2 linked regions of the Xenopus tropicalis genome follow. The protein of the gene in region 1 interacts with the protein of each later gene in a pairwise test. Links are inferred from orthologs where the notes say so. Each region holds a gene or a part of one and is shown in the gene's direction. Other genes may lie near its edges.

The links.
Region 2: the proteins of zc2hc1a (region 1) and castor1 interact in binary tests that used the Homo sapiens proteins (3 or more experiments, as listed by UniProt). The two-hybrid records come from large-scale screens. The link is inferred for Xenopus tropicalis from reciprocal best matches to the Homo sapiens genes ZC2HC1A and CASTOR1.

Annotation. Positions count from the first base shown.
Region 1 is NC_030682.2:123,225,935-123,238,726, forward strand, and holds part of zc2hc1a (zinc finger C2HC domain-containing protein 1A), read left to right. Parts: intron 1-627; coding exon 628-680; intron 681-4,462; coding exon 4,463-4,579; intron 4,580-6,914; coding exon 6,915-7,056; intron 7,057-7,988; coding exon 7,989-8,137; intron 8,138-10,704; coding exon 10,705-10,804; intron 10,805-11,059; coding exon 11,060-11,168; intron 11,169-12,792.
Region 2 is NC_030677.2:144,397,612-144,410,882, forward strand, and holds the start of castor1 (GATS-like protein 3), read left to right. Parts: upstream 1-6,967; 5' UTR 6,968-7,204; coding exon 7,205-7,317; intron 7,318-11,708; coding exon 11,709-11,779; intron 11,780-13,271. UniProt on the Homo sapiens protein: Functions as an intracellular arginine sensor within the amino acid-sensing branch of the TORC1 signaling pathway. As a homodimer or a heterodimer with CASTOR2, binds and inhibits the GATOR subcomplex GATOR2 and thereby mTORC1.

The DNA of each region.
Region 1 (12,792 bases):
ATTTATATAAACTATAGTAGGGTTTCTGTCGCAAACACACTAGTTTAACCAGTGCAGAGCTACATTGCATTATATTTTAATGACTTTAACCACTTTCATGTTTTGGTGTTACTGTTCCTTTAACTTGTACACCTTGACTTGTGTTCTCCCAACCCCACATACTTTGATGCATGGGGCGCCTGTGATATAGCAACACACCCCCTATGCAGGATGAGCAAAGGGGGGAATCTGAGGACTCCAATTTTCACCTTTACAGCTGCACATTAAGTAGAAGTATGAAGAGGTCAGGGTCATGGATACTATTTGGTTATAATACATTTGGGTTACACCACTGTTTAAATACTCCATTTCCAGACTGATATTTGTACTTTAAATCAAGCTCTGCTCCTTGTTACTTCTTGCATCTTTCATCATGCCGCAATCTTTTTAAATAAGCTTTGAGCGCTGATTAGTTAATAGGGAGTTCCCAGGAATACTTTGTGTAAAGCTGATGGTTGCCTATCTAAAAGCACACAGGCAAGCAGGGTTATGTCACGTTGCTTTGCTGCTGTTTGCACAACAACCTTCCCTTAACACTGACATCTAATCATTTTATTGAATTATTTTTGTTTATTTTTTTCTTTCCAGAAGAACTTAAACCATGCAAAATTTGTGGTAGGACCTTTTTTACGTCGACACTGGTGAGTAAATGTGTATTCTGTAAAAAGTGAAATTTGATATAATTCAGGCTACAGCAGGGTTGTCCTGTTCCTGCTGAAACTATGAAGTTTTGCAGCTTTTTCATTTTTGCAGTTAACTGGTTGCTAGCATCCAGTTTACCATAGCAACCAGAGAGTGATTTGAAGATGTGATTGACTGGGAGATGAATTGAAGAAGGCTTGAGTAGAAAGATAGATAAGTAATAAAAAAATATCAATAACATTGTAGCCTTACAGAGGCTGCAAAAGTTTTTTTGCCTTTCTGGAATCGGCGACTAGAAACAACAAGATAGCATTTTAAATTACGGACTGACAGGAAGGAAAATAAAAAAACTTTTTTAAAGGAAGGCCAATTCAATCTGGATTTTGTAATCAAAAATACAAAAGGATTCTGTTTTTCTACTGTATAGAATGTGTATAGAATAGTATATGTAAAGTTAGTAAATAGTTTAAAAGAATTTATACAAATCAAAAATCCACATCATTTATTGACTGCAGTGTATGAAAAGAAATGTAAGTATGGTCTGTGTAACAGGCTGAGCTACGATTAACTGGCTTGGAGTCTATGTGGGTCATGCATGGATGAGGTAACAGATGGGCCCGCTTTCATATCTCAGTTTGCAAAATCATGATAAATAACCCAGGAATCTTAGAGGGGTCGCTTAATAATTTATCACTGTCTCAAAGAACATATTTTATTAATGCTGTTGTTTTATTTTTAGATTTAAAGCCAGGACAGATGAGTTTTTTAGTGTGTGAAGGAGATTTGGTGGATGATAAGAATGGAGGAATGCTGTATCTAAGTACAATGTAAATGCAAGGCAAATGTAACTTTTTTGATGAGTAAACTTAAAATCCGCAAATTCATTCCCTTGACCCAATGGAGCAGAGTAGAGAAGATTTTTACTTAAACCCAAAGCTAACAACATGCCAGCATGAAAACTAAAGACACTTTATAAATAAAGATGTACATATATACTTTGGCCATAGTGTAATCTGCCCCGATCCCTCTCTTTAAATAAAAGGTAATTTTAGATAAAAGGAACCTTAGTAGACATATAACACAATTTGTACATTATTTCTGCATTTATTTAAAGGGGTGGTTCACCTTTAAGTTAACTTTTAGCATCTTATAGAATGTCTTTTTCCTAGCATTTTTTTTTTAAGCATTTTTTTCAATTGTTTGATTTTATTTTCTGCCTACTACTAGCTTTCAGATGTGTGCCACTCCACAGCACACAAAAATCCATTTCTCTTTGCGGCTACAATGTTATTGTTATGTTTTATTACTTAGCTTTCTATTCAGTCCTTCTATTCAGACCTTTTCATATTCCGGTCTCTCATTCAAATCACTGCCTGGTTGAAAGGGTAAATAAGACCTTAGCAACCAGATAGCTGCTGAAATACCAAACTGGAGAGCTGTCAAACTAAAAGCTAAATAACTGAAAAACCACAAAAGATAAAAAAAAAGAAGAGCAATTACAAATTGTCTCAGAATATCGCTGTCTGCAATATGCTAAAAGTTAATCTGAAGGTGAACCACCTCTTTAAGGAAAAAGTTATCCAACACACAAACAGCCCTGTTGAAATTAACGTAACTGCTTATTGAGAGGCAGATTTATCTGTATTTCACAGTTTTAAAGGTTTTTGAAACCATAAATAAACTTGTTTCTATTAAAACCATGGATGTCTGGTCATTTATTAGAAGATCCAAATTGAAAAAGCATAAAGAAATTAAAATGCGCAAAAAAAAATGACCAAGAAAAACACAAATTTTTCATGGTTTTTAAATTTCTTACGAATCTTTGTGGACTTACAAATGACAAAAAACCCTGAAAACCACAAATTAAATAAAGATTGTTACAACCTTTAGATGTCGTACTTTTGCATTTGAATTTTTGTGGCTTTGACGCATAATAAATGGTGAAAAATTATAGTTTTAGCACAAAAAAAGCGAATCATAACAAAAAACGAGTGTGAACAATGAGAGCGGAGCAGTCACCACAAAGTTCCTACAAGAACACTATCCCATGATAAAAGGAAATTTCATAAGAGATGAGAAAAGAGTTGATGAAATCTGTTAGCTTGAAAATGGTTACTAATCCATGTCTAAGGCTCAGGGACTCCATCCAACCACAGTGAGAGCCAGCATCTCCAAATGAAGACTTGGAACAGTGGCAAATTTTTACAGATTAGAACTGCAGGGCCCTCTAGCCTCAGCTAAGGTCACTGAATGCTTATCTCAGATTTGCAAAATAAAACACCTAGACAATTCTAATCCTTTCTTTCTGTAGGCTCTTTCTTCTCTTATTGATTTAAAATCAGTGGTTCTCAACCTTCCTAATGCCGCCTTTAATACAGTTAGTTCCTCATGTTGTGGTGACCCCCAACCATAAAATTATTGCTAAAACCATCAGAAATATGTGTTTTCCAATGGTCTTAGGTGACCCCTGTGAAAGGGTCCTTTGACAAGAACCGCTGACCTAGATGATCCCCAGGCCTTCATCTACAAACAGATTGGACTGAGTCTGCACTGGACCCAGAAATTCTTGGTGAATGTCCAGTCATCTGTTCATGTGATAAAGGGGAAATATAATTTGGTTACACAGTAAGACAATTATTTAAAACACAAATGCAAGTCTATATCTGAACGCATGAGGAAAAGCAAAATTATAGTTTATATATATTTTTTATAAAGAGCTACTTATGTGCACAGTAGCTGTACAGTTGAACAATAAATGAATACAGGGTGTTATTAAAATAATAATAGATAAATACAAAGTATGATAATAAATACAAGGTACAGGTGTAATAAGTTAAGAATCATAGAGACAAGAGGATGGAGGTCCCTGCACCGTAGAGCTTACAGTCTAAATTATATCTATTTCACAAAGGTAACCATACTGCTGATGAGATTTTACAATTCTGTCTAGCCAATATAAAGGGGGTTAGCTGAAGGGGTGGCAAGTGTACAACAGTAGAGCAAAATGCTCTTCCAGATACAACCTGTACCTAGTCCTGGATGTAAATGAACCCATACCTAAACAGCATCTAAATGCCACTACAACACACCCTGCCCTGCACATACCAGTGGCTGATCTCAGAGCTGATTGGGCAAGTGGAACAGTGAAAAAAGCCAAGTCTGTTGAATGACACTGGTTGGTTTAACTAAGTGGGCTTGGTACTATAGGGTATACAGATCCTGCTGTATACATATTATATTTTATTTCTGCATTTATTATAATCAGTAATTAATTATTATGTCCTACCTGTTGTTATTTCATTATATTTTTTAAACATTGTATTATTTATATCCATCCTGAAACTGTACCTACTACCTACAGCTAAATTATAACTTTACATATTTATTTTATTATTTTACTTTATTATGAGCAAAGGCTTGATTTACAAAAACAGCCTGATAATCTGAGCAGGGGGTAATAAGCTTCAAAGGAATTTTCCTGATTTGGAGCCACAGCCTCAGTTTTCCTACAATAGCCAAAATATCCCTACATTTCCTTTAAAGATTATTTGGACACTGGAGGTCACTTTCATTTACATGGGATTTCTGCAACTTGGTAACCACCCATATGAATAGACACAAGCATGGAGATGTGAGAGCTGACATGCAGATCCTGCCATTGGTCACAGGGCCCTGGGCAGATTGACATTCTCTCCACCGCCACATGTGTCATTAGGTGAAACGCTGCATCTGTTACATAAATTCATTTGCACTAATGCATTTTTTTATATTAATTTAACAGAAAAAACACATTCCGATTTGCCAAAAATCAGCTGTGAAAAAGAGAAAAGCCTTTGATTCAAGCAGGCAAAGAGCAGAGGGAACAGATATCAGTACAGTAAAACCAGTAAAGGCACGGGTAAGTAATGCTCCATATTGTAGTTTAGGAATATGCCAAATCACAAGAAACACCGTATTACTTAGTCATTTCTGCTGTACTGCACAAAAATATCACTGCTAATTGTATTGCTTGTCAACCATGAATCCATTTGTCTGTACAAGGGTAGAGTTACCCTTTAATGTAATTTATGAGGAGAATAAATATTATGTGAACATGACAGCACCATGTGTGGTCTATTGCTTAATTAGTGAGAAAGTTGGAAAAAAATATATAAGATAATATGCAGTGGAAAGAACTCTCTAACTAACAGCCTGGCTACATGCATTATATGCTGGTCTACACTAGCTCCAAACAAATGGGTTCTCAGACCTGTGCAAAAGATGTTTTTATTTAAACTACTTTCACTGTGTACCCATCAGCTTTGATGGTACTTTGGCTATAGGGGCTTAGAAAACCTTAGACCTGTGTCAGTCTTCTGGAATGAGAAATACAAGGAAAGGCAGCCTATCACAGTAAAAGCCAATAGTTGGGTTGGTGTATGATTGTTATAACGGTTAATGTCATTTATGACATTTATTGCACTTCTGTTAGTTTCCCTACAGTCTATGTGTTATAAACCCAATTTATTAAAGGTACTTGTATCAAATGCACTCTCTGCACTTCTGCATAGCTGTGCTTAGCGCCCCTCAGTCATTCCTGCTAGCCCTTACGAATTTACCACTGCTGTTTCTCTGTTCCAGGCGGTAGCTCCAAGATTCCCTTTGCACCCCGCAACCATAGGTGCTGCACACATGCATTTAAAGAATTGGGTGCTCATGTCACTCTCATGCCAAACACCAGAAATGACACCAAGCAGACTTATAAAACTTGCACAATGGTTTTAAATTCTAAAAAATACCTTGTCTGTAAATATTGAGAGTAATGAGAAGCTGGTTAATTACAAGATTATATATGAGTAAATACTACCAATTTCTTCTGGACCACTACCACTACTCAATTACAATGCCTTTGGAAAGGAACCATAGCTGGCAGCAGGAAGGTTTAATAAAAACATTAGTAGTTGGGTGACCTATTTACAGGTCTGTTGTGATTTGCTCCTTTTCTTTTGAAGATTTTTTTTTTCTTCTCTGCTTTCTTTATCTCAATCTGTCCCTTCTTCTCTCCCCGTTTACTTGTCTTCATTTCAAATTTTCCCTTCTACTTACTCCGTTTTTCACAACCTCTTATTCTTACACCTTCTGTTTGACCTCCCCTTCTATTTCACGCCTTTATTTTTATTCCCACCATCCATTCTGATGCCCCCAACCATTGTTTTGAGATTTTATCAGTCACTGAATGTTGGCCATCAGTTATGAATAGGTAAACTTCTTTGGATTTCCTTGTTGATTTGGAATGACTTTTTAATTTGAAGGGCAAGGAACCAAACACATACACTGATTTTAAAAAAATTGGCTGCCCCCTTTCCCATACCTGGCTTGAGAACACAGAACAGATTTGGCATATCCAGGCTCCCCGGCATTGAAGTGGTTGTGAAGCAGAGGAGGGACCTCTCTGTGCAGAGGAGAGAACTATTTTAAAAGTGGAAGAAGATTCCAATTTACTTTTTTATAAATAAATTCCATTTCTCTGTAATAATAAAACAATAGTGGTCTTGATCCTAACTTTTAAAAAGGAATTCTTATTGAAGGCAATGTAATCCTATTGGGTTTAATTAATGTTGTCAGCCCATGTATGACCAGCTTTAGTGTAGCCTGGTGAATAGGTGCAGGAAATAACTTATTCTTGTGATGTTCCTGAGAAAGAATTGGCATATTCTGGTCAGTGATTCAGTGTTGTCTAAGAAAGTAAGGGGAGTCTTTACTGAATCCCATTAAATTCCGATTGGTAACTGTAATTTGTGTGGTGGAATAATATTTAAATACACGTTTATGCATTATTTCTATCTATCTATCATTTGGAAATATACACAACGTATATACTATGTATAGGCTGCTTATAATGTTCGGTGCTGCCCTCCAGTGGTAAATTCGTAGGTCACTCATAACGTTATTGGAAAGCTGCTTTTTAAAGATCATATTAGTTGGTATCTTTTGCTGTCTGCCGCTAACTGTATTTTTTATTAAGTCAACTTTAATAAATTAAAAGCAGTAATAATCAAATGTTTTTTTAGTTTGCTGCTTTATTCAAACACATATATTGCATCCCAAGCAAAAGGATAAATTTTGTTTTGATTAATTATTTTGAATAAAAAATTATTTTCTTTTTTTTTTTTTTTTATTTCTCAAGCAATCCTAGAACTTCCTTTTGAGTTTGGTGCCTTGGCTTGCTTAATTATATGCATTCTTTCTTTTAGCCAGAACCTCCCAAAAAGCAGTCCACCTGGAGGAGGAAACATGAAGAATTTATTGCCACTATAAGAGCTGCTAAAGGAATTTCTCAGATTATAAAAGAAGGTGGTGAGCTTCCACCTCCACCCCCACCTTCATATGACCCTGGTATGACTTTGTTAATATATCTGCAGATCATTATCTATCTGATATAGGCCATATAACTGCTCTATTGCCTATACAGCCTCATCTCCCTGCATTATCTGCTAATATTAGCAGATGCCAAATGCAGATCTATGATTGATGTAGTCCTTTCAAGTCAGACAGAATATTATCATTCCCTAACACCATCTAGCAAATTGCTCACTATTGCCAGCATATAAAGAAGCTTCCTAATTGCTCATTATTGCCAGAATATAAAGTAGCTTCCTAGTTTTATATCTGCTTTTTATGCAAGAAGAACACCCATTCTATCCAGAAAAAATATACAGTATTTGCATGATGTTTTACAGATAGGTCCCCAAGAGCCCAGGACTATCACACAGTTACTGATACTGGACAAAATCCATAGCAACCAGCTATTTTCCTTTATGGTGCCACATGCAGCCGACTAATTAAAGTGAATTTCTTATTGGTTGCTATAGGTTGGTGCACATTCGTCCAGCAAATGAGGCTAACTCTGCATGTGTAATTAGCAGTACATTATAACTGGCTTCACTACATTGAGAGAAAAGAGATGGAATATGTGGCTTTGCTGTATCCTAGCATAGGGCAGGTTTATCCGCCACCTTACTATTTACCACAAGCACTACGGCTGCCATAAGTGCTTTCCATTATCTTGGCTGTTTTATGCCACTTACTCTTGTATTTTATCTTTGTATGAATTTTGTGGTCACACCCCCATTGCACCCCAAAGGTATAAAATTTAGTGATGAGCACAACTTTACCTTTTTTACTACATGAAGTCCTAATCATAATAAACTAATAATGACATACATAGGCATCATACATCATGTAGCAAAACAGTCATTTTCCAAAAACAAATCAGTACATAAGCATTGTGTAACACCTGCATTTTACTGTTTCTTTTTTAAATTTAGATTATGTTCAGTGTCCCTATTGTCAGAGGAGATTTAATCAGAATGCTGCTGATCGACACATAAACTTCTGCAAGGAGCAAGCTGCACGCATGGGAAATAAAATGAAAGGAGGCCCAGATCCCAAAGGAAAACCAGCACCACGTCCCCAGGTAATAATAAATTTGGGGGGAAATTTTGAAAAGAGTGTTGTATTTTGCATATAACTAGTCATGAATAACTAGCAGATGCTACCAAAAACATGGCCAACAAAGGAGAACAACTATGCCAGAAAGAAATTACAGACTATAAATTAGTGGAGCTGCGGATAAGATTTGGTTGGCCCTTAGGTCCACACAGGGCTGGAACTAGGGGTAGGCAGAAGAGGCACCTGCCTAGGGCGCCAGACAGGAACCTCTCCTGCCTACCCCTTACCCCTTCTCTTGCCCCAGCCGGTTGTTATTACACGGTGGGGCAATAACTCCCTCACTGCTTGATGGCACACGTGAGGTGGGGGAAGGTGCAGGGGCAAGGTGGCCGACTGGGTTGCCTAAGGTGCCCAGTTGGCTTGGCTCACCCCTGGGTCCACATTTCAGATGGTTTTTTGGATGTGAAGTCTTGCAATAGTTTATAACTGCATGGTTGGCTTATCTTTTGATTTATGGGAAGGTGCTAAAATGTTTCTGAGCCTTCAAGAAAGAAACTATATAAGTATGATTAGGTCATCAGGTGCAAATGATCTTCTTAACTGATCTATTTTGCAGTTAAAAAGGAATCTTGGCAAAACGTGGTTTTGGCACAAGGTGACAGATGTAAGACAGTTGTTATCAGTCATTCAGCCATAGTTCCAAGAATATTTGGATAGCAAATATATTGGATAGACTTTAATTTACTGCCATGCTGGACTCTCAGGTATATCCAGGAGAGCAAATAAACATTATCCACAAATCTTACCCTAACCAGCATTCATACTGGGCCCCTCAATCACTTCTCTATGTCCCGCAAGAGGCACCAGCCCCACAGTTTGTGAATAGCTGGCGTAGATCCACATGACAGATGGTTTTGCCAAGGTAGCACATCATGGACTTCAATCCTGTGTATTTTCCTTCATTCCTTACAGGCTATTTTCAAGGGGTTTCCTATTTTAAACTAGTTGCACAAAGCATGTAGGTCATCTAAGGTGCACCCATACAATAATCATATCAAAGGGCAATGCCATCACAAACACTAATGAAAGTTGATAGCAATCGCTGGCATGGTTTGTATCGTGCATAGCTCTTCCAAAGTGCTAAAGGTCCAGCTCTTTGAAGCAAATATTGCATTGGTTTATATGTTGAAATGAAAGGTAGGGTTTCCTTCTAGCTGGATAGACAAATTCATTTTTTTACGCTTCCTTGGGTTTTTGCAGAATTTATAAGCATGATACCCTATAAAATAAACATTAGAAGGAACAGTTACATCAAAAACCAAAATTTTTTTATATGCATTTAAATATTATTGCCCTGCACTGGTAAAAAAAATGTGTGTGCTTTGGAAACACCACTATAGTTTATATTAACAAGGGACTGGGTAGCCATGGGGTTAGTCATTCAAGATGAATTAGGCAAAAAGGCTTGTGTTTAGAGAGCAGATTGCAGATAAACTGTTTAGATTCCAGTGGGTTTAATTTTTATACAGGAAACTAAACAGTGGTCAGATGCTATTTGTGGCTTTCTATGGGATTACAGGATAAAACCGTTATAAACCAATATAAAAAAGAATTTATATGTAGGTGCTGAATGAACAGGTACAAACTTTACATTTAAAGGGCATGTCAACCCCAAAAATAATTATTTGCATAAATAAAGAAAACATAATTCTAAGCAATTTTCCAATATGAAATAATTAAAAATTTGTAGCGCTTTAAAAGTTATTTGTAAATGTAATAGCTATTGAGAGCAGCATTTGCTGAACTCCTGGTTGTTACTTTTTTAACAATGTTGCAACTGTCAGTCTCCTCCAGCAAGCCAGGTCTGTCAATCTGCTGCCTTGCGTTACATTGTTTCAACAGTCAGAGCCACCAGGGCAGAGAATAGAAAATGACAGGCAAACACTGCCTCTAATAGCAATTTTAAATACAAATAACTCAAAAATTACAAATTTGTAATAAATGTATATTGCAAAGCTGCTTAGAATTGTGTTTTCTTTTATTAGGCAAAAAAATATATTTTGCATTGCCTTGTCCTTTAAATAAGCTATTTTCACTGTTTAATGATACTGGTCAGTTAACCTCCAATATAATCCTGCATTCTTTCTAGGTTTCAGCTGAATCTTTGTGGGGTATTTTTTCAGGATTCATATTTGGCCGAATCCTTAGCTGTCAAAAACATTTGTCAGGTTTTAGGTGGCAATCCACCCCAAATGAAAACACAAGCCTTAGAGATCTCACTACTATTTTCTGACTAAGTATTTTTCGTTCAGAAGAATTAACTCTGAACCTATAAACCATGTGACTTTAAAGCTTAGAACAATTGAATGTGGACATTTTGGTTCACAAATCGCAATTTGAATGTGAAAATTAGGGATCACAATTCAAACAAATCTTTTGTTGAAGATTTAAGTTGATGTGTGAAACTATTTAATACTTTCCATTACAAGGTCAAGATCATTAAGCCTGTATTGGACCTGTGTAGCAACAAAGCATTTATTTGCCTCACTGTATTAACCTATGGCAACAACTAATATACCATTATTTTTGCAGCATAAGCCACTGAGTCTTAAGAAGACTAACTCACCCGCGGCTGTATCATCCCCGGCTTCACGACTGCCACAGCCACCAAATTTTGGAAAAACCACCTCAGGTAGACTTTAATATTTCTGTGTATGGGTTAGTGTTATCATATACATAAACTTACACTTATGTGCAAGACCTCTTTTTACTCTTTTCTGCCAATGCTTTACTAATAACAGTGGTCTTCCAGCTATTGGGAATTGCTGTACATTCAAGCGACAATGCCTGCATATATACAGTATATATGTATTACTGAAATGTAAGTGCCATCACTGGCAGAGATTCCTTGTTACAATTTGCTACTTTAATCTTCTCCTACATTCAGGTATCCCATCAGGAAAATCAGTAGCAAACAGTGGAGCTCCGGGAAATAAATATCAAACTCAGTCTCCGGCACATAAAAATTCTACAACTGTTACAAGTCCTCAGGCTGGGTAAGTCCAGTTAACAGCCCACCTTTACAGTCTGATGTACAAAATTATTCTGACTGCATATTTAACTTTAAAGGAGAAGGAAAGGCTAAGTCACTTGGGGGTGCCAAAATGTTAGGCACCCCCAAGTGACTTAGAACGCCTACCTTGTACCCCGGGCTGGTGCCCCTGTACGGAGGGAACAGCACCAGCCCGGGGTAGCTGCCGGCGCTTCCTCCTTCCTCCTCGCTTGCGTGCGCATGCGCAGTAGAGTGAAAAGCCGAACTTAAACATTAAAGTCGGCTTTTCACTCTACTGCCCATGCGCCGGCCGGCGGATTTCGCCGGCAGCGCGCAAAGGAAGGAGGAAGCGGTGTCTACAGGTGCCCCGGGCTGGTGCTGTTCCCTCCGTACAGGGGCACCAGCCCGGGGTACAAGGTAGGCGCTCTAAGTCACTTGGGGGTGCCTAACATTTTGGCACCCCCAAGTGACTTAGCCTTTCCTTCTCCTTTAAGACCTGCCTGTACTTTTCAATAATTATTTGCTCTGATGCCGGGACTGGGGGTAAGCAGTTCTCATATGGTGGTCACACAACCCATGCCCATTTTGCACTGCACTGTCAATTAGCAGCTGTGAAGCTACAGAATACAGAGCAGGGCTGTTGAAACTTTTCGGATTCAGGCCTGCATCCTTTTGCTGTCTATTAACCTTTCAGCCCCAACCGCCATACAAAAACATAAAATATTGTTGTTACAGTTCCATCCAGAGCAGATTAGGGACTAGGCTTGGCTAGATTTTATCCTAGCTTTCTGTAAACATACCGGCTTTAATGTAAACCACCTGCAAGTGCTTGTGCACATGCTTATCAGGCAATAGTTTCCTAAAAACGCAACAGTCTGTAAGAGCTTGCACAGCTTGCCAGGGCTGCACATACAAGTCTATTGGGGGCAGTAAGAGGGTGCTTTGGCAAGGCTTTTTAGGGGTATTAAAAAAAAAAACACTGGACTAAGAGTACCCAGATGCTATTACCGTAGAGAACAATCTGTTCCAAAGTAATAAAGCTTAATTAGAGGCCAGTAATACACAAGTTTAGAGGGCTGGCTGAAGCCTTTTTTGCAGTGTGTTTTTTGTGAGGCTTTTTAGCAGCAAGTACAGTTTGGAAGGAAGATGCTGGAAAATAACCAGGTAGGAATTGGAAGGTGACGTCTAGAAAATGTTATGGGCAAGTTGGGGATCAGGAAGTAATGTTGATAAACATTTTAAACCTGAGGGGTAAGTCAGAACCACAGGTGGGACCTTGTGTAATGGGAACAGTTTGGAAGCTCATTTGAAGAAGACATACAACATAAGGTACACGTGTATTGGCATGTAATATTGGTTGGCTGGTGTATTACAGGTATAGGACCCATTATCCAGAATGCTCGGGACCAAGGGTATTCCGTATAAGGGGTATTTCCGTAATTTGGGTCTCCATACCATAAGCCTACTAAAAAATCAATAAACCATTAATTAAACCCAATAGGATTATTTTCCATCCAATAAGGATTATTTATATCTTAGTTGGGATCAATTACAAGATACTGTTTTATTATTACAGAGAAAAAGGAAATCAGTTTTAAAATTCTGAATTATTTGATTAAAATAGAGTC
Region 2 (13,271 bases), on another chromosome or scaffold:
AGCTTATACTTGAGTATATACGGTACATCCACCATAAGATTTTCTAATTTCAGATCTCTAAGTTTGAAGTGAAAATTGTTCAATAGTAGACACTATACTAAAGGAAGACAGATATATTCGATATCAGACACAGACAAATTACACTGTTCTTCATTTGATACTAGATAATGTGAAAATAATTCAGTAAGTGATTTGATAGATTCAGAACATATATATCAGTACTGTTCTATGTGAACGTGAGTGTCAGTGTGCCAGTACTCTCTGCCAGTGAGAAACCCCAATTTTTTACATGGAGTTTTCCTGAATCCAAATCCCATCCCACTTACATAGCTTTAGATTCTTCAAATGCTCCTTGATGCTCCAGCAGATAGCACAGGTCACCTCCAGGGAGATATTCCATTACAAAAAAAGATGTGATTTTTCACTGGAATGTGGTGTATTAGGAGACCAGAAATGGGTGCTCTGTGATGGTAACCTTCTAAAGGATTTTCTTCTCCTTGAAAACACTGGTGGGAGAGTAAAAAAACTGTCACCACATGAAGCCTACACAGGGGAACTTGTACACAAAGAGACCATTTTACACTTTGTTTAAAGCAACATTAAACATTAATCATACTGAGAATACATTTTTGTGCAGAGAGACATAAAAAATAAAACGTTACAGAAAAAAACATATAATGTAAATGTAGGGAGGTAGTGCTGGGTCCCTGCACTTACCCCCCTCCTGCTGCTGTTCCCTGTAGGGGAGCTGGCACTGAGACTTTGTGCTGTGAGCTGCTGCCTAGCAACAAGGTGAACAGCAAGCTCAGGGCTGCCGGAAGTTGCAAAGCAGCCTGGGAGAGGAAGCCTGAGGGAGGAGACAGAAAGTCCCAGAGCTCCAGAAGCTGCACGTGGGCTCAGAGAGAGGAGCAGCACAAGAAGAAGCTGGCCTTTGGAACAGGCTGGTACAGGGAAGGCAGACCCTGTACCTGGAGAGACAGAGATCCTGTGAGGAGTCCTGACTGGAGGAACAAACACCTGCAGGGGAATCCCATCTGAGTACCTAAAGGGGCTAGTAGTCGCACTGCATGGCTGTGAGTGCTGGACTCGCCTGAAGATTCTGTGTGAATCACCCAAAGAGATCCCTGGAGTGAGTATCATTAAAGTGAAACTAATAAAGGAGCGCTTGAAGATTAAAGTATATAAACTTTCCTTTGGACTGAGCTAAAGGACTGTACATAGTTAGTGAGATAGCTTGCGCTGGCAAAGCTAGTTAGTAAGGCCCTTATTGCCACTTTGATAGGAGTGTTATCTGTATTAGTTTCCCCTTTATTCAGATAAAAGTTATTTCGTTTATCAAGTACTGTGTGTGCATTATTATTGTTCCTGGTGGGGCCACCCGTAGGTGCACTCCCGGATCCCACTAGGTGGAGGCACTGCGCTAATAAGTACCAGGTACCCAGTCTCTCCCAATACCACTGCGGAGTGATTCAGGTTTGTCCCGTGCCATCAGGTAAGCGCCACACGTGGAGTGTAACACTGTCAAAAGTGCCAGAAGCGGTGAGGATAGGGTTACATTTTGGAGGCACTGCTGAGATCCGGCTGGGACCTGGTTGCACAGAAAGTGAAACAAGATGGCGTCATCTACTGAGAGTCCCCAGAGTGTTCTGGACTGGTGCAAGAGTTTGGGCCTAAACCCGAAAAAGACTGCTGTAGTGGGCCCTATGATACCAAAAACAAAAGAGGAATTTATTTACAAGATCCTAGATGCAGATGGATCTATTTATAGACCTAGAGTGGTAGCTTCGCGACGAGACCCAGATGGCATCCTCTTAAATGTGCTTGTGGATAGTCCTGGTGAGATTAATAGAGAAACATGTGCACGTGGTGTACAGGCGGAAGACCATGATTACTGGCAAATTGTCTTACCAGATGTCCCTGAGGAGAAGGAACTTAGTGACAGTGAGGATGAAGTGGGAGGCGATCTGGAGAATCCAAATCCCTTGTGCAGTGGCACCCCACAGATACCTGCTGCTGATCACAGCCCAGTGACTAAAAGACTGTTTGATGTGATACCTGAGACAAAGTTGAAATACACTGCATCATGTGAAAGTTTGAACTCTGCTGGGAGGAGCCGACCTCTAAGTGATGTTGTTGAGGCAGCTCAGCTGGTGGAAGTCTTGGCCCAAGTCGGTGAGAATTTGAGACAGCTGGCATACAATGGAAATTATAAGAGACTAAAAATATTCTCAGGTATGGAACCTACTCCTCCAGGTGAAGAGACCTTTGAGGCCTGGAGAGATGCTGCTTTGGTTGCTATTACCGATTGGCCTGGCTCTGGTCCTGCTTTATGTCGCAAGATCCAAGAGAGTTTGCGAGGGCCTGCATTGGACCTAATTAAGCTCCACCGAGAGGTGTGCCCACAAGATGGTCCTGAGAAGTTGATAGAAGTACTGGAAGATACATATGGACCGGTGGAAGATGAAATTGAAATGTTGTACAAATTTCAGTCTTGCATGCAGAAAGAAAAAGAGAATCTGTCTGAGTACTTGAAGCGACTGCAGCAAATGCTAAAATTACTTGTTTGCCGAAGAATCATTGCTACAGATCGTGTTGATTCTATGAGGCTACAACAGTTATTCAGAGGGGCTTTATCTATGGATCCCACAGCTGTGATGTTGAGATCTTTCTACAGAGGAAAGAAAGAACCAACTTATCAGGAGCTGATCCGGGAGATCCGAAAGGAGGAAGTTAATGTTCTGCGACGAGAGAAGAAAAGTCGTGGTTCTGAAAGGACATACAGTGATTCGCAGAAAGCGGAAGAGATTGCTGAGTTAAAAAAACAGGTTGCTCAGCTCAAGGCTCGTGTGTCCGAAAAGGAAGAGGGGTCAACTATGTCTAGAACCTCTTCATTTCCTAAAGCAGGTGGTGCTCGCGGTGACCCACCAAAGTGCTTCCGTTGTGGCCGGTTGGGCCATATATCCCCACACTGTCCGACGCAACGTGAAAATGCTGCAGCTACAGAAGTTATTTCATATGGCTGTGATGTGAGGAAGCCACCCCAAAAGAGGTATCGGAAGAGACGTAATCAGGTGAGGTGTTACACCTGTGGTTGGTACGGTCATACTTCCCACACCTGTGACTGGGGACGGAATGAAGACTTCACTGATGTATATGTGACATCTTTTCCATGTGAAGTGGATATTTGTGAAGAGAAATCCTGTGGCACGAGGATGGTCTCTGAGCACTCTGGCATCCCCAATAAAAGTAAGAGACTGGGCCTGGGAATGCGTAGACCTTCAGGCAGGGGAAGTGTCAGGGCAGTTAGTGAGAAAGCTTTCCCCTGTGTATCTCCCCCAAAGGTTAGGGAGAATAAGAATGGTGAGAAAGGGCAAGCGAGGACGTTGCCCATTCAAGCAGGGGGAGAATGTAGGGAGGTAGTGCTGGGTCCCTGCACTTACCCCCCTCCTGCTGCTGTTCCCTGTAGGGGAGCTGGCACTGAGACTTTGTGCTGTGAGCTGCTGCCTAGCAACAAGGTGAACAGCAAGCTCAGGGCTGCCGGAAGTTGCAAAGCAGCCTGGGAGAGGAAGCCTGAGGGAGGAGACAGAAAGTCCCAGAGCTCCAGAAGCTGCACGTGGGCTCAGAGAGAGGAGCAGCACAAGAAGAAGCTGGCCTTTGGAACAGGCTGGTACAGGGAAGGCAGACCCTGTACCTGGAGAGACAGAGATTCTGTGAGGAGTCCTGACTGGAGGAACAAACACCTGCAGGGGAATCCCATCTGAGTACCTAAAGGGGCTAGTAGTCGCACTGCATGGCTGTGAGTGCTGGACTCGCCTGAAGATTCTGTGTGAATCACCCAAAGAGATCCCTGGAGTGAGTATCATTAAAGTGAAACTAATAAAGGAGCGCTTGAAGATTAAAGTATATAAACTTTCCTTTGGACTGAGCTAAAGGACTGTACATAGTTAGTGAGATAGCTTGCGCTGGCAAAGCTAGTTAGTAAGGCCCTTATTGCCACTTTGATAGGAGTGTTATCTGTATTAGTTTCCCCTTTATTCAGATAAAAGTTATTTCGTTTATCAAGTACTGTGTGTGCATTATTATTGTTCCTAGTGGGGCCACCCGTAGGTGCACTCCCGGATCCCACTAGGTGGAGGCACTGCGCTAATAAGTACCAGGTACCCAGTCTCTCCCAATACCACTGCGGAGTGATTCAGGTTTGTCCCGTGCCATCAGGTAAGCGCCACACGTGGAGTGTAACACTGTCAAAAGTGCCAGAAGCGGTGAGGATAGGGTTACATATATATGACTAAATTAAAGATTTCAGAATATCACAGAGAGCAGAGAAATAGTAATGAGACCCATTTTACTGACCTCTTGATATCACTCCTGGCAGTAATCTTATCTTATAGTCTTTATGGCACATAGTTATTTTGGGTCCTTGTACTCTGCCAGGAACACCTGGAATGAGACCATAGGTTCAGTGCCTATGCCTTAGTATGGTACAAATCCTTATTACGGACATAGCAACACACCTTTCTAAAGATGCCTTTGCCCAATACATTTACCAGACTGAAGTTTTCCAGAGATCTGGGCATGGCGCTAAAAAGAGAAATGTTACAGGCTGAGAGTTAAGAGGCTAAAAAGCAAATTGTAGTTATAATAATAATAGTGAAAAGCATAACAGCAGAATACTAATAATATTGAGACTATGGCCCAAATCAATATCTATCAGATGGTCCTTCTGTGCCTACTAGTGATGTGCGGGTCAGGAAAAACTCAACCCACACCTGACCCTAACCCGCAAAATGTTTCCATTGTAGGACCCGCACCCGCTTATCAGTGGTGTGAGTCACAAAAAGCCATATTTTAGAAAACACAGCCAGGATCTCACATTATGGTTTCTTGGTCAATGCAATACAGCACATTGATATAGAGTCAGGTATACAAAAGCAAAAGACATGAACCTTTTTTTACTTATTTTGTCTAATTGTGACTCCAGACAGGAGGGCCACCTAAGCAGTTTCATCCAAATGTAGTGCAGGATCAGTGTAGATTGTAAGCAGTGAGTCCAAGTCTTTTTAATCGAGGCAGCTCAATCAGTGGGGTAGGGGCCAGGCCAGGGGGTCAGGCAACAGTGGGGGCTTTACTTGCCTATTAGACTGCAGGAGTACAGTCAGTCTACACACACATAGTTCATACTAGGTATATGAATTAAAACTAAAGAAAATAATGTAATGCCAAACTCACACAGAAAACCTGTGAAAACCTCATTGAAAATGAGAAGTAGTAGCTAAATTAGTTGATGGCTTGTACTGGAGGTGGTGGTGGCACTGAGTGTGGATGATGCTGTACTATAGCTAATAGTTGCTGTGGCAATGGTAAGGACTGTACTACTGCAAATTAAATCAGGCAAAAGCCTGAGGAGGATTTATAACTGATTTTTGGCTCGCTCATAAACTCCTTAAACCAGGGCACAAAGAGGGACCGATACTCTGGAACTCTTGCAACTGTTCCAGATTTTTTTTGCATTTATCTATAATGGAGATTACCTCTTTTATTTCTCGTGGTAATGAATTGCCATCAAACGTATGCTTAAGCACTGTATTCAGTACATATGCTCAACATAGAATCCAATGACAATTGAGAAGAGCAGCTTTGATGTTTGCACCTTGGTCACTCACAAACACAATTTTGGAATATAACTTGGATGTAATGCCATATTCAGACAGTTCTTTGTTAATCTGCCCAGTAAGATTTTCAGCTGTTTTAGAAACTCCTGCCTCAAATTCGGATAATGCAATGACTTTGGCTTTTAATAGCCAGGTATTGACTACATGTAAAAAGTGGCAAGTTAGCACAGTATATGCCTGTTTATGGTGTTTGTCAGTCCACATATCAGTAGTGATTGCTATGCCATCTTCTAGTGCTTTTCTAATTTAGCTGTTTCTACAGCCTTCTTACATATAGTATTTCTGTGGGGAAGAATCATATCTGCACTAACAGATCCATAGGTAGCACCAATATTAATAAGTGACTGGGCAAAGCGCTTAAATCCTTCCTGTCACAATATCAAAAGGCCTAATATCCATACAGTACAAATCAACACATGAATCTAACAACTGTAATTTGACATTTACTGGAATTTTAGATACATCTTTTAGAAAGTATGACACTATAGGCTTTGTTGTTGCTGGCTCTGCTATGTAAGGAGAAGATGCTGCAGTGGTTCTACCTGTGGAACTTTGCCCACATATGTGTCTGCTTAGATTAGAAGTACCAGTCTTGTGACTGTCATATTTATAAAGTGCTTTGCATTTCACACAGCTTACATAGCCTTTGTATTTACATTTGTCTGCGCTAACTACCTCCCCCAAATTGTTTCCACACTATAGATTTCTGCATCTTTTTTCTGTTGTACTTTAAGTTCTCCACTTTGCAACAAATCACATGTATTTTTAATGTCACAAGCAGGTGGGATTTTCCTGGTGTGCCTTTGAGCTACTAGTACTAGATCAAGCTGAAGACATGTTTATTGTTGCTGCTCTCAAACCTTGCAAACCTGAAGAGGCAGAGAATGTTTGGGAGGCGAGGCGGTTCCATGACGTTATGGGCGGGGCCACAATAAATTCTATTGCTGATTGAGCAGCTGGGCGGGCAACAAACCACAGGGGGCGTGTATAAGGCTGCTCTCTCCTCTGAACAGTAATTGCTGGCAGTAAGGCACTGGCTGCCTGTGATACAGCATCAGGAAAGGCTTTGCGGGCAATAAAATTACAATGATAGGCAGTCGAGTAGCTGACTACCAGAGAGGGAACGATGCACACACTACTAGAACGTCTCTACTATTTAATGAAAAGTGTAAATTTGCCCTCAGTCCCTAACTTCTGCAGCTTCTCGCCCCTCCCCTTTCCCCACATCAATCAATGTTTTTTCCCTCAGTGAGCGATCTGCTATCCGTACCGCCCCCCCTCTGGTTCCTGTTACTGTCTGTTCAGCCTCTTCCATCCCATGGCCTGCAATACCTTCCAAGAATATCAGGTACCCGACCCGCACCCGCCATGAACATCCAATATTCGGGCCGAACCCACTGGGTTTCGGGTCAGCCGGCACATCACCCTGTGTGTCACTATGAGCCCGGCCCATGCTACTGATTGACACATCCCTTCCTAGCAAGGCCACGCCCCGTGGAGCACGCTGTGGGTCTCGGCTGGGTGTCCGTGCAATGGATCTACAGCTGCTGGAGCATCGGGTGCGAGTGACCAGCATTGAGAAGTGTGGCCTGTGGTTCTACACCCACCCGCTGGTCAAACTACTGTTCCTGAGGCAGCGCACCAGGTATATAAAGAACACACGGGCGGGGAGAGAGCCAAAGCTGCTGGGCTGTGGTACTCGGGGAGAGAGAGCACTATTGCCCCTAACACTGGCAGCACCAGCTGCATATGAGTGAGGAAGGGACCTGCACTGTAGATCATTTACGAGTTGCACGGCTTGCCCGACTAGTCCTAGAACTTGGCCGATGGTTCAGTCTCATTGCATTGCATTGCATCAGGGAACCATGTGGGGCAAGGACTGCACTTGCACTTGCCTTTGCCTTTTGATTTCATCCTCACTAGCGGTTAGTGTGGTTGCTATTGGTTACTGCACCTGTCTAATATCTGCACCTACAGTGCTGGCATCCTGCAACCTGTGCCTGGTATCCTTGCTGTCCTGCCATTGTGGGTAGGGTTCTCCTACAGCTGTTGCACTACAAATCCTAGCAGCATCCACTGAGCTCCTGAAGCTGTAGTCACATGGTGGGAGTTGTAATTGAACAACAGTTGGGCAGCTCATTTAGGGGCATGAATTGCACAGGCCAGGCAGCATGTTCTGAGTTTGGCTTGCTGCCCCTGGCAGTTTCCTGACATTCAGTCTATGTGAGAGCGTTTTATCAGCTGTGACCACTTGCTTCTATTCTGTAATGCACCGACTGATTAGTATTGGGCTCTGCATCCAGTGTGAGTGTGATGATGGGCATAGAGAAACTAGTTATGCCTGCATGCCCTGCTGTTGTGTTCCAGATCCCAGTGAGATCAATAAAGCATGGTTTCCTGCAGTGTGTAATAAATATATATATATATATATATATATATATATCATAATAGGCACTGTGCTACATACAATACAAGGTTCTTGGTTAACCGTTTTTTTTTTTTTTTTTTATAAAGAATTTCTGTAAGCGATTAATGATATGACCACATTTCATAAGACATCCCAGTGCTCACATACAAAGGCATCCTATACATTTGCACAAGATTAACTGTGTGACCTACAAAGACAGACACACTCTCCTCAGTGCAAGAAAGCACTCACTGTTACACTTAAACAATTAAAAGGGGGACCTAGAGTAAAAGAAAATGTGTGCTTCATTTCCTGTTATTTATCTTATTATTTAGTTTGCTACTTTGCGTATGAGTCACTTTCCTGAAATACAGTTATGGGATCTGCTATTAAGAAAGCTGGGGACCCAAGGTTTTTGGATAAAGGGTATTAAAGGGTCTTTCTGTAGCTTGGGGCACTGTACCTTAATGCTTGCAAAAACATTAAATCAACTCAGTAGGACTGTGTTGCTACCAATATGGATTCATGCAGTTTAGTGTCAAGTACAAGCTACTGTTTTAATATTACAGAGAAAAAGGAAATGATTTAAAAAAAAAAAAAATGCTTGTTTAAATTGGACATTATGAAAATTAAAAATTTGTATGTCAAACCTTTCTGGAGAATGGCTTTTCACATTAAAGAGTCTATATCTGTACCCATATTTACTTTTAAAATATATAGAACAGCTCATTCTCTCATGTTAAAACAAGACAGGTGTTCCTGTTCTCTTGCTAGAGGGCCGGTGACGCTTATCTACTAAGCAGAGTAGGAAATGAGTTGGTATGTCTGCCATTGTGGACTGCTTGTTTTAACTTGCTGGAGAGAACAATCTGTTTCTATTATGTAGATGTTTTAACTAAAACAATTTATGTTATAGCTAAAACAATGGAGCTTGATGTGTAGTAGCAATAGAAGCACACTCTCTTCTGGCTATAGATTGCACTTAGTGTAAAGTGATCCCATTCAGGGCTAGGTATCAAGTGGTGCTAAATCAAATCTAATAGTACTATTTGATGCAAAATTAACCCTGATTTATCTTAAATTGGAAATCTGCCCTGTACTGGACACATACCACCTGGATATGTTCCATTTGCTCCATATGTTGCTGTCCCATGTGATAAGTAACATTTTTCCATGGCAGTTTTATGTACTGGCTTTCTGAGCTGGAAATGGCTGTAACCTGGTTACTGCAGAAATTATACACCTGTCGCAAATGGATGTGCTTGTTCTTCCTGTGTGAGGCTATTTAAGGGAATATAGCATGTGGAGCTTTCTGATAACACCAGTGTAAAATGCAAGATACAAGCTGCACACATCAGTGGGGGTGTGCAACAGGTCTCCCCAAACCATCTCTTAAGATTGTGGTGGTGCATTGCAAGTGCGCCTTTCAGCTCTCAGTTGATCTCTGTTAGGGGTGATCATTTGGTGGCATTGGGGTTTTTCAAAGCAAGAAGTAGCAGAAGACTGCCTAACTGAGTTGGGATTTGATGGAATCTATACCTATCAGTAGACATGTTACATGTTAGTAGAAAAATGCCTACTGGGAAAATAGTCAGTAGGCCTATATTTGTGGGAAAGCCATTATGGTTTAGGCTCAGAGAATTACTGAATCCATTGATATACATTGAATTAGCAGTACATTTTCCATTACTTAAAAGGAGTTGTTCACCTTTAAATTCACTTTTTTTTTTTTAAACTTTGTTTTTATTTTCATGTCATCAAACATTTCTATTACAACATTTGTGGTTATTTGTTATCTTAAATTTGTGTCTTGTAGGTAGAGTAGTAGAAAATAAAACATTTGGGTTCAACATATTTAACAAAATTTGAACTTTTAGCTCATACCTGTTCGTCCTGGACCTTGTGGAATTTATTTTTACTGTAAGTATGTTGCCAACATTTTATTTATTTGTTGACTCCTGGGGGGTTCGTAGTTTTGTTGGTTAGTTTCTTGGATTTGCAGGTTTTGAAAGTACTGGGATGCTTCAATCAGGAGTGGGTGTTCCTTGAGTGTTTCTATGTCATACCATGTGGTTTGTCTGAATGTCTAGACCGTGAGATTTATGATTGTCTGAGGTAAAGAGGATATATATGTAAGCCATGTGTTGACGAATTTTGCAGTGATTTCTTCTTTCTTAGTTGTTGTCTCCAACCAATCCATGTAGAAAATATGGTGTAGTTTTTGTTTTGCTAGTATTATGGGATGGGGTATCTGAGGCTAGCCATTTGTGTAGTATTGTCTTCCGGGCAGCTGCCATTAAATTCACTTTTAGTATGACATAGACATTGTCTCAGAATATCAATTTGCAGTTATCATTTTTTTTTATTTTGGGTTTTTAGTTATTTAGCTTTTTTTTGTTCGCCAACTCTCTCTAGTTTGGAATAATGTCAGCTTTCTGGTTGCTAGGGTCATGTTCACCTCAGCAACCAAGCAGTGTTTTGAATGAGAGACTGGAAGATAAAGGGATTGAATAGAAACTATAAATAATGAATAAGTAATACCAATTTTGAAGTGGCTAGGAATATGGCATTCTCAATAACCGGGATCCCCAACCTTTTTTACCAGTGAGCCACAATCAAATGTTAAAAGATTTGGGGAGCAACACAAGCATGACTCAAGTTCCTGGTTCCATATAGGAGCTGTGATTTGGCTATTTTGTAGCCCCTATATGGAATGGCAGCCTACAGAGGTCTCTGCTTGGCAGTACATCTGTTTTTTTGCAGCCAGCATAAGCTAGGAATTCTTTAAGCTAGGAATTAAAAAATAAGCACCTGCTTTGAGGCCACTTGGAGCAACATCCAAGGGGTTGGTAAGCAGCATGTTGCTCCTGAGACACTGGTTGGGGATCACTGCACTATAACGATAAAAGTTATCTTAAAGGTGAACCACTCCTTTAAAGCAGAGCTAAAGCCAGACAATGCAGGCTTAAGCCTTTTTAGTCCAAATGTACCCCTGTACCTATAACAGTTTATTACTGACCAGCTTTGAACTTTTATCTTTTAGCATAAATCTAATATAACTTAGGCTCTGGCCTCTAACACGGTTTTAGTGATTTTCATCATGCTTGAAAAAGTTCCAGTACAAAGTATTGTTAATCATACTCTAGGCCTAGGGTCTAAAAAGTTAGTGTGGTTTACTAGACAAGAAAAGTATAAAGTTTGTCACTTGACTAACACTTACAGGAAAACATTTTCTTAGTAGTCAGCTGGACTTTTGGTTTTGTCACTTAGTAGCACACTAGTGAAAATACCAGCCTTGTGCATGCTGTATAGTGCAAAACTATAATTTGTAACTTTGATTTCAGTACCTAGGTGCAAGTGTTCACTTCTATGTGAGGGGGTTTATAGACATGGATTTTTGCAATCATTAGAATCTGGTCACACAACATCATTCACTTTGTGCATATTAAATGTCAGGGTGTCCTTTATTATAATATTGTGCTATAGAAAATCTGTCAATGTGGCACACAAAAAATTGCAGAGCATTTGCTATTGATTGGAATAATTGTTTGGCTGCTATCTAGTTTGTACATTGAGCCAACCAAGCTGTACTTTTCATTTAAATGTGAGTTTCTCTCTTTATTTGATAGATGCAAGTTCTTCAGCTTGACAGAAACACCAGAAGATTACACACTGATGCTGGATGAGGAAGGCTTTGAAGGTATGAATATTATTTATTTCACAATAATAGACTCAGAGGAAGTGTAATATGTAAAAATAAAATTTGTCATTTTATTAGGATAATGTGCCAATGAAATAAAAGTAATTTGAAATCTGCTTTAAATGCCATACAGGGAGGAAAGAGTTCTGTTCCCACCCATGCTGGAAAGGACATTTCCTGTTTTGGATCCAACCTGCCTTAGCCTGGCATGTGTTTTATTTCTTTTACACAAAGCCTGTGATCAGAAGTGCATGCTGGCTTGCTGCAGGATAATAGATATGGAAAAAGGCTTTTCTTTTGGATAAAATGTAAAATGACAAAGAACATACACTGTAACCTGTAACCTTGTTCTCGTGCATGAAAATTTAGAGGCCACCGTACACAACAAATTGCAATGCACACAAAAAAAATTTGTGCAAGAACACAACATTTTGTAATTTTTCTGACCTCAGCACACACTTTTTAAAAATGCGCACAAAATAATTTTTTGCTTACATAGCCAAGAAGGAATTAGAGGGTACATTTTTTAGAAAATCTTTATGTTGCAGGTAATTCTTTTATGTATTTCATGTGGGACTGGGAAGTTTGCACACAAGCTGCCCATACCACAGACCTAGCTATAGTTAGGGACTGACACTCTTGATGACAGAAAGGGATTTTATGGCATATTTTGTCCATCAACATGAAACCTGTATAACTCCAGTGTAGTGATGTGCTGGTTGACAAAATGTCCCTAACCCACTGCCTCCCAACCTGACCCAACAATGCACCTTTATTTTAGACTCGCACTCTACCTGCCCCATCTCTCATGCCACAAAGGAGGCAGGGTAGGGCAGGCGTATTCCGATACATAGAGGCTTTCGGATGTGGAAGATGGGAAGTGTAAGGTCTCAGGCGAGGAGGATCCCGACCCACAGGTCCCAATGTTTTCGGGCTGGTCGGTACATCGCTAATCCAGAGGCCCTTGCTTATGCTTCTGATTTTTTTCCTTTTTGCCTGCTAATGTTACTCATTATTGTTTTTTTCTTTCCCTGTCTCTTTTGCACAGGCAGTGGTCAGCAGTATATGGCTATATCACTGATTCCAACATTTTGCTTAGGCCAATCCCTCAAACCAAACAATGAAAATGTTGTTAGTGTCAGGGAATGAGCTTTGCAGAACTGTAAATTAGCCATGGACAGTCTTCAGTGATGTGCCATTCACAAATGCTCTGAAAAAATTAAAATCAGTCACAAAATAAGTTCTTAGTAGTTCAAAACATCACATCTGAATATGTAACTCATGAACTCTTTTAGTAGATAGATGATGATTAATGGGCTTGTAACATGTTTTTGGCTGATGTTGTAGTAAATATTACCCATGTGTTTGTTTGATTTTAACGTGTCATGCATACAGCACAGCAACTAGGTTTACAAATTTAAATGAGCAACAATGCATTGAATTTTCTGACGGAAAATGGAGAGGAAGTTGTTAGCCAGTGTCCCTTCAGACT